2 linked regions of the Caenorhabditis elegans genome follow. The protein of the gene in region 1 interacts with the protein of each later gene in a pairwise test. Each region holds a gene or a part of one and is shown on either strand. Other genes may lie near its edges.

Region 1 (6,292 bases):
AATAAAAAGCCATGAAAATTTTTGAATTTGTTTTTGTTCAGCACATTTTTTCATTTCAGGTCATTTTTACATTATTCGTCATCACCACGGCTTGTTAGTATTCCTTTGAAAAATTTGAAACTGAATTTATTTTCTAATAAAATTATGACCAACGAAAGCAATTGTGAAAATAACTTTTTTCCTATGGAACCGTTTTGTTTTGAAATTATAATTTATTTTAATTGAACTCAAAACTAAAAAAAATCCTGCGTTTTTTTGAAACAAAGTGCTTACTCATTGGGTACCTAAAAATTAAGAACCATGGTCTTAATTTTTTTTGTTGAGTTTTTTTTTTTTAAATAATTGTGTTCTCATGCTAGATTATTAAACACATTTTCTATCAAAAAAAAATGCGCAAATGCAAGGTATCAACTCGGGAGAATCTTATTCATTTTTCAATTGTTTTCGCTTGTATTTTTTTCCAACCTTCCTCCGCTAGACATGTATTTGATGGGTTTCACCTTTTTCTTCCAATTTCAGTTCACGTTTTTTTGTTCAGCATCTCTTTTTTCCCCTCTTTTCAAAAGTATTCAATCTTATGCAATGTTGTTCTCAATAAAAGCAATAATGTGTTCAGTCCTTTACATGCGAGCAAACAGTCCTGAAACTTAACTGGCAGAGAATTGATATGCGTGTGGTTTATCATGTTTTTTCAGGGTTCTATAACTGGAAAGAAACTTATCACAAAGAAGAAATTCCACTCTTTACATTTTCAATTTTTGAAAGAATAATGAAGCTATGTTTTCTTTTCTTTTTTTTTGAACTTTTGAACTTTCAGGTAAAACAAAAAAGTTTTCTTAAATCTATTTTGGATTCAAATCGAGGAATGCCTTGGAAACTGATTTTTTTTTCACTAAAAGATTGTATCTTAAGAACTTTCGTTCCATTTTCTAGTCAAATTAAACTGTAAACTATTATGTCCTTCAATTGGGATGTATTGTAAAATTTGACCCGTTCCAAAATTATGATGGCATCTACTCATTTTTGTAGAAATAAAACCCAACCATCTGCTAGTCTCGGCAAACAACACGCGAACTTTGTTTTTATCCCCTCTCACTCTCAGTTCAGTTCAGCGCTCTCCACCGATTTTTTATTTTGATTTAACTCGTCAATACTCTCGTTCCATTGTTACGGTTGTTAGCTGCATATACAATACGTTTTTGGCGCCTGACGCGAGAAGGTGTAATGCGTGGCACGCATTGATAAGCGACACGGTTTGACAGGAAACTTTTAAGCAGTGCTCTGCCATTTCTGTCTTTGCACTCCATTACACCGTGCAATTTGCCTTTTACCGATCTTTCGTCACGGTCAATCATCTCCGTTTTCAGCCAGGTTTTTCTGTTTCAAATATAATTTCACGGGGAGTACAATAGGAATGGTTTGTCTTTGATGATAGTTGAGCAAAGTTTGCAGAAATAATCATATTTTATATGTAGCATAAGTTTGTTTTGCTATTTTTCTTAATTCTCACTGTTTATCGTTCTCGATTTTTCCATTCCCACAATTTAACAACTCCTATTATTGTGTCTTTTGTACAGACATGTCGCGAAGCACGGCTGTCAGCATCAACTTGGATGACGTCTTTGGCAACCTTCCAGCGTTGACATCTGCCACCAACGTGAAATCTTCCGAGGTAACCAAAAATTTCGCAGAATTTTTGTATTTCCAATAAATTTTGAAAATAATTTCAGTCTGGAAATAGAAGCCGCAAGACAACTGCTTCGAGTGTATCCACTGTGAGAGAGGTTCCGGTAAGAGTTCATTATGGTATAGAGCTCATAATACTTGTAAACTTTTCCAGATTGGAAACGGAATCCGATCACATGCGACATCAACTGTGGTGTCCCATCCACCACATGCAGTATCTGCACCTCCACCACCACCAGTCAATGTCACCCCAATTTCGCATTACTACGATGCAACTCCAGTGAATGACGATTTGATGAACTCGGTAACTATATTTTTAACTGAACCACTTTTCACAACAACGTTTTAAAGGTCTTTTCCGCTGTGACACTGCCAACTGTCAACTTGCACGGAGGACATGACGATGCTCTCCGTCATCTCGACGAAGCTTTGTATGGTGAGGATCACGAGTCCATCGTCAGTGAGCCACCATTTCAAGCTCCAAGCCATGTGAGCTCGTCACATGTTACATCTCATGTTAGCTCGCACAGAAATCAGTATGCAAGCGAACATCACCCACAAAACGCAAGCGTAGTGTCAAACGGATCTGCCAAGGTAAATTTCAATTTTTAGGAACTATTCGGGTAAGTTGGTCCGTTTTAGAGGCATGCCGCTGCACGAACTGGAAGTCTCGTCGTGAACAATGTTTTCAACGATTTGAATATCAATTCTCAAAGCTATGCAAGTTATTTGCATTGTGTTGAAAATAGATTGTTTTGAATTCAAAGTAAGTTCGTAATTTTCAGCACTACGACGCCTACGGATCTGAGCCGCAGCCGGATTATGAAGACGAGAGAAGTGACCACTTCAATCTGAATCATCAATATCCAATCAGAACGGGTGAGTGTCACTTTTCAAGACGGAAATAAAAAAAATTGTAGAAGCATGTAAATAAGTTGCAACGGTCATATTTCTGCTATGAGTCAGTTATTGAGGAGTGAACAGTGGTGTAGGCTTTTGTTATGCACATTGAACATAACTAGTCATACTCTTGTCTGCTCAAAAATGTTTGACTATTTTTATACTCAAGCGGGTCGTAAGTGTATCCGAAATAGTACTAGTTAGTTTTAAAAAAAGTTGCATATAATCAATGTATGTTTAAAAAAGTTATTTTAGCACAACCACACCGTGATCGTTCCAACACCATCGATAGCTCCGCATCGTTTGCTGAAAGCCGTTTCGGACAATTCGATGTTCACGATGAGCATGACCGTTACCATGGTGAAGAAATCAACCTTCATCATGACGAAGTGGCATATGAACGCCCACGTTCTGAGCTCAGCGTGAGAAAATTATCAAAAAAATCTTCATTATCATTAATAAAGTCTTTTTACAGTCACCAGGAAGTGTGTACTCTTCCCATACCCAAGCTTCGTTCCACACTGGTGGAACCCAGAAGCTGAGAAATCTTCAACGCCAAGTTGAAGATGCTCACGCGAAAAAAGCTCAGCTCTCTCATCAAGTTGACCGTCAACGCGCTGACAATGACCGCATGACTCATGCTAATTTGGCTCGTGAAGCTTCATTGAAGGTCAACAAAATTGGACAAGGTGCGAAGCCACAAGGCTACCACGTTCGCTCGTACAGCCATGAGCACGATCATCATCATTTGCCGCCACAGCCGAAATCCAGCCATTCTTCAAGTAAGTTTTAGAGAATTTAATTAGACTTATAAACACGGTCTTAACAAACACTCAAACTTGCCAAAATAACAAGATAATCAGGCTTCATTTTTCTGAGGTCGAAGTGAGTGTACCGTAGGAGTACTGCAGGAGTACGGTAGGATTACTGTAGTTTTCGTAAAATTTGATATAGAGCTTTTGAAGAGGTTGCGGTTTGCTGACATAACCGTGATAGTTTTTTTTTTTTTGAAAGTGTAAAATTGTTTCAAATCTTTCAAAAATGTTAGAAGCTTTACAAAAGTTTGAGGCTTTCCAAAACACTTCCGAAAAGATCACAATGCTCTAGAGGAACTTGTGTAGTATACCATACCCAAAACTATTATCCAATACGCTTTCAGTCGTTTCTTTCAAAAATGATAATATAATCAAAACTTGAACTACATTTGCATTTTTAAGCTCAGGAAACACTAATCCCATGCCTAATGTAGATTTAAAAAAATCACGAACATTTTTAAAATGGTTAAAACTTTCGGGCCAGGTGTACTGCACACACTCTACAAAAGTGTATAAATTATTTAAAAGAAAAAAAACCATGCACCTGCAAAAATGTGTGGCAGTTTTCAATTTTCTGTTTGTTCAATTTTCTGAGTACAATCAACGTTTTCTGTGCGAACTTCTATGTAAAACATATTATTTAAATTTTCTATTGCGTATATCGAATATTTAAGAGAGCGTGGACTCAAGCATCTACGAAGAGGAGGAAGCTCGTGTCAGCCCACTAGCTGCTAAACAAAAGGCAGCAGGAGAACATGTAAGTCATTTATTTTTCATATGAAAATTATTTTAATATTCTTAAAAATTATTAGATTGCAAGCAGCGGAAAATACGAGCTCGTTGTTCCACAATACTATGTTGTTGAAAACTTCTCCAAGAATGACAAGATCAACAAGGTTATCATTGGAGGAGATGCTCCACCAAGTGACGATGACAAGACTCTGCTCCTGTTCGGTCCAGTTAATTCTGGAAAGACTTCTGCTATTACCAGCATGATGAACTATTTGTATGATGTTAAGAAGGAGAATGATTTCCGGTAACTTAATTTTTTAATTTTCAATGTTATAATGTTCATTATTCTTCTTTTTTCAGATTTGTTTTGGACGAGCATGTGAACGCAACCACTGGACTCACCGCCTACGTTTTCAACAACACTGTTCTTCCTTATAACGTCACTGTTGTTGACACACCCGGGGTTGAGGACAAAATGGGCAACAAGACGGTCTCGCGACTTATCAAGCAGTGGTTTGAGAAGGTGAACTATTGAAACTTTGCAAAAAATTCTAAATTTCACGTTTTAGGAGCTTCTCAAATCTGGATCCTTCCGTCTTGATGCAATCTCAATTGTTTTGAGACACGACGAGAATCAACTGGGATGGCCGTTCATTTATGAGTTGGCTGATGTTAAGAGAATGTTCGGAGACGATTTGAAAACAAACGTTCTGCCGATTATCACCAACTCTGAAGTTCTCCCACAGCCAATTGCCATCAAAAGTCTCACACAGGCCAACATTTCTTTCCTTGAATACTACAAAGTTAACAACTCGGGATTCGCACCACTCCCAACAGGAATTTCCAAACTTCAACATAATCTCTACTGGACACACGGAACAGCTTCGTTGGAGAATCTTTTCAGAGTAAATATTATGGGTTGGGGAAGTGAAATTTAAAACTGAAAATACTAGGTGTCTCAGTCTGCGTATTTAACTCGGTTTAGTTGAAAATAACTGAAAATAGTACACTTTATTTGAAAAGTAATTTTGGCTTTCAAAAATCATCTTTCAAAAATCATCACATGAAAGCAAAGAACATAAGTATAAATTGAGGCGTCTCAAGATTATTTTTCAACCCGTCCGGGATCAAATTCAATTCAAACTTATATTGAAAAACGTATGCAGAAAAAACTGTATCTGATGAAACTTTAACATATTTTGAACTCCAACTTCAGCATAATTTTAATTTATTTCATATGTATGGGAAGGCTTTCAAATATTCAAAATAGAAAACTTTCCATGAAAACTATTCCGGTTTTTATAGTAATTATGACATAAAATTTTTCAAATGTGCTTATGAACATTTAAATAATTTTTTTAAACATATTTATATATTTTTGTTTTCGGTTTAGTTCTAAGCTTTTTTCATATCAAGTTTTTAACTCATATTAACTCACTTTTCAAAATTGTATTAATAATGTTCGAATGTGAGAGATGATATTAATTTTTGCGGTTTTGATAGGTCAGCTTATTATCTATGCTTCTGAAACTACCTTATTAAATCTTTCACTTCAGGATTTGCAAGAAACTGTCCACCCACTAGTTGCCATCCTCCGACACAACAAGGGACAAAAAGTCGAACAAGCTCCAGTGTTTGCTGATAAAGTGTTGTATTAAAAAACAATTTATTATTATTAGTATTATTATTTGTGTTTTCTGATTCAATGGTTTCAATTTAATCTCCGATCCACTCATTTTGTATTTATTGTTCGACTTAACATTTTTATCCAACGCGACTCGATAAACATTCCCTATCAATCGTTTTTTTTGTTTTTCAGCTTCATTTCTTTTCGCTAAGGAACTAATATAATTTTTGGCAGAATAATATTGTTCATTGATATTTAAATCAAAAATACAAATAATATTATAGGAAATTCTAGAAATTTCGACATATCAGTTAAGAGGAACGCTATTACAAGTGTCAAGTTTTACAAATATGATTACCTAGTGTATAAAACGAATTTCAGGAAATTTTAATTTTCAAAGTGTACAGAGAAAGCCTAGATTGATAGATACTATCACTTTCAAAAGTTCCTTAAAATTCAAAGCAAATGATGATACTCATTTTAAAGTGAATTAAAATTGTGAACATAACATTCGAACTTTTTGGAGCTTAGG
Region 2 (7,952 bases), 6.0 Mb from region 1:
GATGAGATCCCTTCTGTAATTGAATATGCCATGTTTCTCCACTGAAGTCATATTTCTACAATAAACTCACCAACAATATGCACAATATCCTTTCTAATAGTCGGTTCACCTCCTGTCAGTCTAACTTTGTCAACGCCATGTGCAGCGAATAACTTTACAAGTCTTAATACTTCACTGTTTGAGAGCATTTTGTCTTTGGGCTTGAGAGGAACACCTTCGGCTGGCATGCAGTAAAGACAACGGAAGTTGCATTTTTCCGTTAGCGATATCCTCAAATAAGTGTGCTCTCTCATAAACATGTCAAAAAATGGTGGCTGGCCTTTTGTGTGTTCAATCTGAAATTGAACGATGAACGACAAGTGAACTTTCAGAATTTTCTTATATTTTCTTATCTCTTTCTCTGATTTCTGAAGCTCATTTGCACAATATGTTTAAGAATACCTCTTGAATTTTTAGTCTGACTGCTTCTCTTTTTTGTTCGGGCGTCAACGTGAGTATTGGTTCGGCATGTTCTCGTAATGGAACAGTTAGTTGTTTTACAATTTCTTCTGTTGACGACTTGACCCGTGACCATTGAAATAACTTTTTTCCTGCTCGACAACTCATCTGTAATATTTATATCAAAACACTTTTAAAAATGCGGTGCGATTAATTTATTGATTAGGAATTGAGAAAAAAAACAAAACCTAGAGAAAAGGTGTAAAGTAAACTCCAAGCAGCACATTGTGGCTCTCACGCTCAAACATAAATCGTGGGCGTTGAAACCATAGAAAATGCAAAACGGAACAACGGGAATGTTTTGTCATCATACAGGTTGATGGGCACTCTACTCTGCATTGGTGATTTGCAATTCAATTCCGAAAAGTGATTTTTGTGTCGACGAAGGAGAAAACGAACGTGTTGCAGAGAACAAAAAGAAAAAGAGGGATAGAGGCTCAGGAATTTTGGACTTTATATATCAGGAAATGTATTTTTAATGAAAATGAAATATCATGATTCGGTCTAACGATTTGAAAAACTCAGTAACTTTTGAATGTCAATAAAAAATTTTTATTCCAGCTGTTGAAAAGTGTTACTATTCTATTTGATCATTTTGGCATTTTATGGATAATTTTTAACAATTTTCTTACTGTCGCTACTCCACCTTAATTAATTTCTGATGCAAGTTATTAATTTCTGATGCAAGTTATCAATGTCTGATTTTCAAATGGTTCGTGAAAATAAATCGAGGTTTTATCATTATCTTTTAATCAATATGATTCTGACGCTAGAAACACAATATTTCTGGAAGAGACAACAACATTGTTTGTCAAAAGATAAACAAGCGAATATATTTCAGAACATTTGTGTGCTCTTGACTATCATTTCCTCATAGTTTCTAAATCAGAAGGAGTGTTGCCATTATGAGTAAGTTAAATACCGTGTCCCAAAAATATAGTGTACTCATAAACCCCTTTTTTTAAAGTTGTCACGTCCTCCAAGTGTCCCATCTTCCAAACATCTCTATTTCTCTCTGTCTTTCTTTCTGACGTGTCTTTTTAACTCTTTTGGTGACCCCTGTAATTTGTACATTGTATAATAAAGCATAGACTATTTGAGACAGAGAGAGCGATGTGAAAAGGGCACTTGATACAACGTAAAAAAAATTGTTACAGCTGGCATCTTCAATCTGGGCGCTCGACGATCTTCGCTGATTGGGATGAAACTATGGAGATGGAGAGGTGAGGATTTTTGGGGTAAAAATATTCAATCAATTTAAGTGACTCATACAAACACAAAAAAATCATGTTATCAAAATCCATTCAATAATAAAATTGCAAAAAATAAATACGGAATGTTCCAATCTGCCTCCCTCATTCCCATCCCATTCCATTCTTTTGTTCTGTTTGTCCTGGTTTTCATCGAAATATTGATAAACTCCAATGGAATCTGCAACTGACGAGTTTTACTACCAATCTCGCATTCCACCACAGCCATCCCCTTTACCAGCTCAAACTCTTGAAATTAACGGTCACAAATATGTTCTCAATCATCGTTTCAAGAGTATCAAGATTGGTAAGTATGGTTATACGTCCGAGTGATTGGCAAACGACCTCGGGATACATACGTTTTGTTAGCCGGATAGTTACGACGTGTTTTTTTGGAGGGAGAAGACGAACGGAATAGAAAACTTAGACATTAGTCATGCTTGTCAGTTGTGTCGCGCGTCTCTTTGTGCCAAAAAACTTCGCCACATGTTAAAAGGTTGGTCAACTTTTGTTTGTATCGAGGGAAATACTGAACTTAAATGCAACATTAATATTTTCATAGAATAAAATGTAAGTATTAGTTTCAAAAAGTTACATTTTAAAGCTTTATAATTTGCAGCTCAATTTATATTTTCAAATATCTCTGAGAAGCATGTGAAAATATAACTTTCATTTTGAGGTGTTCGTAACATTATATAAGTTCTCGTCTTCTGAACACTACCTAGAAATTTAATATATTGTTGGAATTGGAGTTGGAAATGTTGGAAATCATGTGGGGATGCCCGAATGTAGGTGTCCCTGTAAGACAAAACTAGGCAAATCAATAAACACGATTTTTTAAGTGATAATGTGTATGTATTGTAGCTTTTACTTGTGAATTAATTTCATAAGCAACTTAACTTAACTGTGCTAGTGGTATTTTTTGTTTAGTTACATTTTCCTAACAATGATACACTTATTTTGATTGAGCAAGATGCTCAACATATTTCTACTGTCTTTGATGTTTCACATGTATAACGCAAATTTTGAACATACATGTTCAAAAAATCATTATTTACTCACTTATTAACAACATTGGTATGACAATGTAATTTAAATTGCGGTATATTAAATCAATAATTTTTTATGGTTTAAAATAAGTTTTGAGTTTTGACTACTTCTCTAAATTTTGAATAAATTACAAAACGAGTTACTTGTAAAGATGCCGATCAACTTTTGTAGCACAATAATTAAAGTTGTCCTGTACTTTATTCATAGCTTTATTTAATTCTAAACAAATTTTATTTTACTTCACGGGTCAGTGTTCAGAATTGAAACAATTAAAACAAACTAGAGTTCAATGTTTTACTAATAACACTCACTATCAGGTTTCTTTACAAGCTTAAACGATGCGTTTTTTATATTTTTATATTATTTAATTTCAAATTATTCAAATGTTGTTCAAAAAGTTGCATACGGCTTGTCATTTTTTTTTGTCAGATGTCACCATTCTCTGTTGTCACGCTCTTAAAATTGATAGTGTCAAAATGTCAACAGTATTTCTTCACACAATCAGAATAGTCGCTTCAGAATGGCACAAAAACTTAAAGTAGGCGGCGATTTTTGGTTTTGTTTCACACTCTCCCAATCTGCCAGGTTTCTCGCCGCTTGGCGCCGATGCCCGGGTAATGTACATAATCAAACGCACGCAGCATACCAAAGTCGGGGCTCTTATCACTTGCACAACGCTTTTTCAATAGGTGCCTGCCGCACTGCGTCGTTTCATGAACTTGGTTGTACGCTCGCCTCATTTTCTTATAGAGTGTACACTGTTTTAGGCGTTTTGCCGGCATAATGGCCATTATTTTACTCCAAAAATGAAATATTTTTTGTTTCATTCCTTTCTTATGACACATGTTGCGGTGATAACCATAATCGTTATGATGGAAAGTGGAATTCAGGAATGTTGGCAAACAAAATGACTTTATAACACTATTTCTTCAAAAAATATAGATATTTGTGTTTTATTGATTTAGGTTCACCGTCTTAGGGTTTTTTTAAGTTCTATAACTTGTTTAGTTGTATATTTTTTATAATATTTAGTGTCGCATGCCTTTAGCAATTAACAATATCAATAAAGAAAGTTTCTCGGATGGCAAAAGCGTTATCTACAACAGACCAACCCTGCCCATAAAATATTATAAAACTTTTCCCGCAAAAGTAGTGCATTACTTATGAAAATTGAATGTCAAACAGTTTGCAAAAAGTTGGTTTTCAGTCTCTCATCGGTATCCACCAATCATCCCGATGTCGGTCGACGAACAAGCGGTACCACCGGAGGTTTCGCCTTCAATGGCTGCCAACATTCCACAGATGGTCCACGATCAGCTAGCCGCACAGTTTTTGCCAGGTACCTCTTGTTTAGGTTAACATACACAACAAAATTTCAGCGGCAAAAAATCTTGGGCAAGCCGGAATGCATCTACTGAAAACATATTACAGTAAGTATTTTTGATCAGAAAACAATAAGTTCTCTTACACAGTATTCTTTCTATGCTTTTGTTGTATTTTAAAAAACCTGAGAATGCCTAAATTGTGGCTCGAAAATAGCGGCAACAGGGAAAACAATCGGCGAAGAAAGATATAGGTTCCTTCGCTACGAGATATTCCCGCGCCAAAACGGTAGGCACTCTCATGATCTCATGGTTTCTTAATATTGTAAGAGATGAGAAGTAAAAAAAATTAGAAAACGTTACTGCAAAAAGTTGGCAAATATACGTTGAAAGTATTATAGTTATCATGGTCGGGACGGTTTGTAACAATGGCTCAATAATGTGAATAAAATATACTCAGCTCATCCCATTTCTGTGTTAATAATTTGTTTATAACTCAATTCAGTTTGTATCGCAACACATGAAAACATGTGTAGTTGAAAGACGCATTCATAGAACTCGAGTTTTATATTTTCATAGTTTGTGCCTAAAAATTCAATGACAAAAACTATATTTTTTGTGAGAGTGGAAATTGAAACATTTTCGTTTGCAATCCATATCAATGTAGGTCAAGAAAAATAGCTTTTCAATAATCACATCAAGTTTTCAAGATGACAAGAGTATATAAAAATTTGCAATTTTCAGTGTTCCAAGAAGCATTGTCAAACTATTGTGATGCCACTCACAAACTTATCAAATCAGCTGATACTGCTGGACACAAATCGAAAAATGAAGCTCGAGAGCTTTCAAAAGTTTTTAAAGAGTTTGTACAGGGAGTAAATGCTCATCAAAAAGTCGTAAGCATCAATCTAAAGAAAAGTTTCGCATTCAATATATAATTAAACATAGATTACGGAATTTGACGCGCTGGCACACAAAGTTCATGACTATAGCAACAAGGAAAAAGACAAGCTGAAGACAGAATTTGCTGAGTACAAAGCAAAAGAAAAAAAACTTCTGAAACGCAAAAATGGAGAAACTGAACAAGATATTACCGCGTTCCATAAAAAAGAAGCAGCCAGCTGGGCAAAACAACAGGAAATGAGATACAAATTTTTCAATGACAAGCTGCAATCCTGGATTCACGGGTGAGTTAAATGTAATTAGAATTGTGAAAATAGCAACATTAATTCAATTTCTGGAAAAAAAAACTCTCATAAAATATTATCAGATACGTCGAAATTGGGAAATTATTCCAAGCCCAAGAAGTGATTGTTCAGCCAGCAGTTGGGAGTGTGATCGCTGCACCGGTTGAAATTGAGACCATACCAGAAGACCACAAAGATTGGCATCAAGATTTACATGAGCATGCCGCCGTTGTTGCAGCTGAGGAAATTAAAGAGAATGTTGAAAAGGTAAAACACAATTTAATGCGTGTATATCATATTAAATTTCAGAAAGTAGATGAAGCTGTACAGGACAGCCGCAGCAATTCGACTTCATCGGTTGCAACAACGCTAGAGGATCTTCCATCTTCTCGTCGTCTCACAAATGACGTTTCCGGAGTCACACTGGTTAGTAATTATCGCCGTCAATCAATTGAGGTTAGTTGAGGACTAATATGTCATGTGAAGAAATGTTTCAAAGTTGTTATAAGTCAATATTGTGTATAAACAATAGGTCATAGTTACATTAAATCACGTACATAAAACTTATAATACATACGTTTCATTTTGTATTAAAAAAAAAGAACACTCACATTTTCAAAGTTTATTACTATGTGTAAGCCATCGGACTAGTTGTAGGATACTTAAAATTTGAACTGTTGAAGCAAGGAGGTATTCAAAATTTCTCCTATTTTGAAAAATTCGCATCTGCAATAACACTATTTTTTAATGTTTGTATAATGTCCGCATGTGCTATTAAATTATCTAGGATAAAAATCAATAAAAAACGCAACATTTTGAATTTTAATTTAGATTAAAATCAGTTTATTTATTCATAGTTAAGCCTGCATGAACTTTCAATCAGCAACACAGTGTTTTCAAAATTTAACAATAGAATTCAAAAATGTTTGTAAACATCGAAGCAAAAGTCTTTAATCGAAAAAAGAAATATTAGCATCGTTTTGTCAATTAGATTTTATTGAGTTTTCACTTTGGTTTTGAAATCTTGGCAATCTTTCTATCACGTTTTAGAAATGTTACGCGAATTTTAAAAGGCTGACTGAAGAACAACTATTTTCACGTGTTACATAATTATCAAAATTTTTTCGTAACAACTTCACGTGTTTGTTTAATGGTAGAATAGCGACGTATGAATAGTTGCTCTATTTGACTCAAAATTACCTCACATAACATTACTATATTTTATTTAATCTTTCACATAAAGTTTTTATCAAAGATTTGAACTGCAGTAAAAACATTTCATATTCTTATTATGTATTCACAACGTGCCCCGAATTAAAATACCATGCATTGGTTTTTACAAACAGTAAATGCAACTGGTTTATTTCGAAGAAAAATTTAATTGCCGTATTAATTTCAGATTCAACAACTTCCACCCAACAACAGCTACTCCCACATTGCTCCACCAGTCTTGCCGCCAAAACCAGTTGTCGAAAACCCCCAATATGCTCCGATTCGCGCTCAACCAGTTCCAGTCACACGCCAGGAGGAGAGCACATACGCCCCTCGTCATAATGTTGTCGCCGAGGTAAGCATCTGGTGTAATCATCTTTTCACTCGCTATTATTTGTCCATTTTGATAAAACTATGCGTTTCCAGCAAGTGCCTCAACAGCCGGTTAATAGCGCTCCAGGTGGTGTCCGCCGTGCTGGAAACACAATTCCAGGTGCTGTTAATGTTTTCGGATTTGCAAATCAATCAAATCCTCAGCCAAATGTCCGCTACACGCCTGTTCAGGTAAAAACTATTCGTGTAATTTTCAATTTTCAAGTGTGATAATCCTTCAGAATAGCACGCCTTATCAAGTTGTTACCAGCGATTATATTCGCGTTGGGAGAGTCGTCGATAATCCAGTGACAGAGGAGCAAATGAATGCTAAAAAGTGAGTACTCACAAGAAATTTGAAAAAAAGAACGACATATTCAGATTCCACGTGGATTCTAGTTACCTTCCAATGGCTGCTCCATCTCACCAAGCACAACAACACAGTCGCAATCATAGTACAGATATTTCGGTTCCATCATTCTTCAACCCATCACAATATGGAAGTATTCTGATTGTTAACGATGATTTCAATGCTTCTTCCGGAGAACAGATGACTGTGAATCGTGGAGACAAGGTACCAAAAACTTTCTAAATAATTTTGAAAAATTAAACTAAAACTTGTTACTTTTTGTGACGTCAAGAAGAAAACAAAAAGAATATAAAACTTTCAAGCAAAACGGCAAACCGATAAAATTTCTAACAACAGACCGGTGCCCTAAAAAAGTGGTAACATTTGCCTGTATCAATATTTTAATTTGACACTATTATAGGATTTGAAAGCCTACATGAGTAGAGTTTCATGAATGTTTTTTTTAATCAAAATCAATTTAAGGTTATTAATTTTTTATCAAAAAAATCTTAGCATTGGTTCGAGATATTTAATTTATGGAATTCGTTTTTACATTCAAACAAGTCCTTACTGAACATTTGTCTAACAGGCTCTTTGTAATATTTAGTATTGAATTAGAGAATACTTGCAAAACATAGTGTAGTTGAAAACTATGTTGATGTTGTTCTTTGTTAGATATTTTGAAACATGCATTAGTCACCTCCACAATTTT

The links. The genes of interacting proteins can lie anywhere in the genome.
Region 2: the proteins of C18B2.5 (region 1) and F49E2.2 interact in a two-hybrid assay, tested with the Caenorhabditis elegans proteins (one large-scale study listed by BioGRID).

The regions. Positions count from the first base shown.
Region 1 is NC_003284.9:3,606,378-3,612,669, reverse strand, and holds C18B2.5 (G domain-containing protein), read left to right. Parts: upstream 1-1,577; 5' UTR 1,578-1,579; coding exon 1,580-1,672; intron 1,673-1,730; coding exon 1,731-1,790; intron 1,791-1,840; coding exon 1,841-1,990; intron 1,991-2,037; coding exon 2,038-2,280; intron 2,281-2,328; coding exon 2,329-2,406; intron 2,407-2,471; coding exon 2,472-2,565; intron 2,566-2,841; coding exon 2,842-3,008; intron 3,009-3,061; coding exon 3,062-3,368; intron 3,369-4,075; coding exon 4,076-4,158; intron 4,159-4,213; coding exon 4,214-4,437; intron 4,438-4,493; coding exon 4,494-4,656; intron 4,657-4,702; coding exon 4,703-5,038; intron 5,039-5,689; coding exon 5,690-5,791; downstream 5,792-6,292.
Region 2 is NC_003284.9:9,565,374-9,573,325, forward strand, and holds the start of F49E2.2 (SH3 domain-containing protein), read left to right. Parts: upstream 1-1,922; coding exon 1,923-2,055; intron 2,056-3,409; exon of another isoform or gene 3,410-3,534; intron 3,535-3,662; exon of another isoform or gene 3,663-3,683; intron 3,684-4,005; coding exon 4,006-4,137; intron 4,138-4,177; coding exon 4,178-4,228; intron 4,229-4,864; coding exon 4,865-5,016; intron 5,017-5,068; coding exon 5,069-5,307; intron 5,308-5,390; coding exon 5,391-5,574; intron 5,575-5,616; coding exon 5,617-5,763; intron 5,764-6,706; coding exon 6,707-6,874; intron 6,875-6,945; coding exon 6,946-7,083; intron 7,084-7,133; coding exon 7,134-7,228; intron 7,229-7,272; coding exon 7,273-7,465; intron 7,466-7,952. Other genes in the region: moc-5 (GTP 3',8-cyclase), read right to left, coding at 1-13, 71-335, 442-606.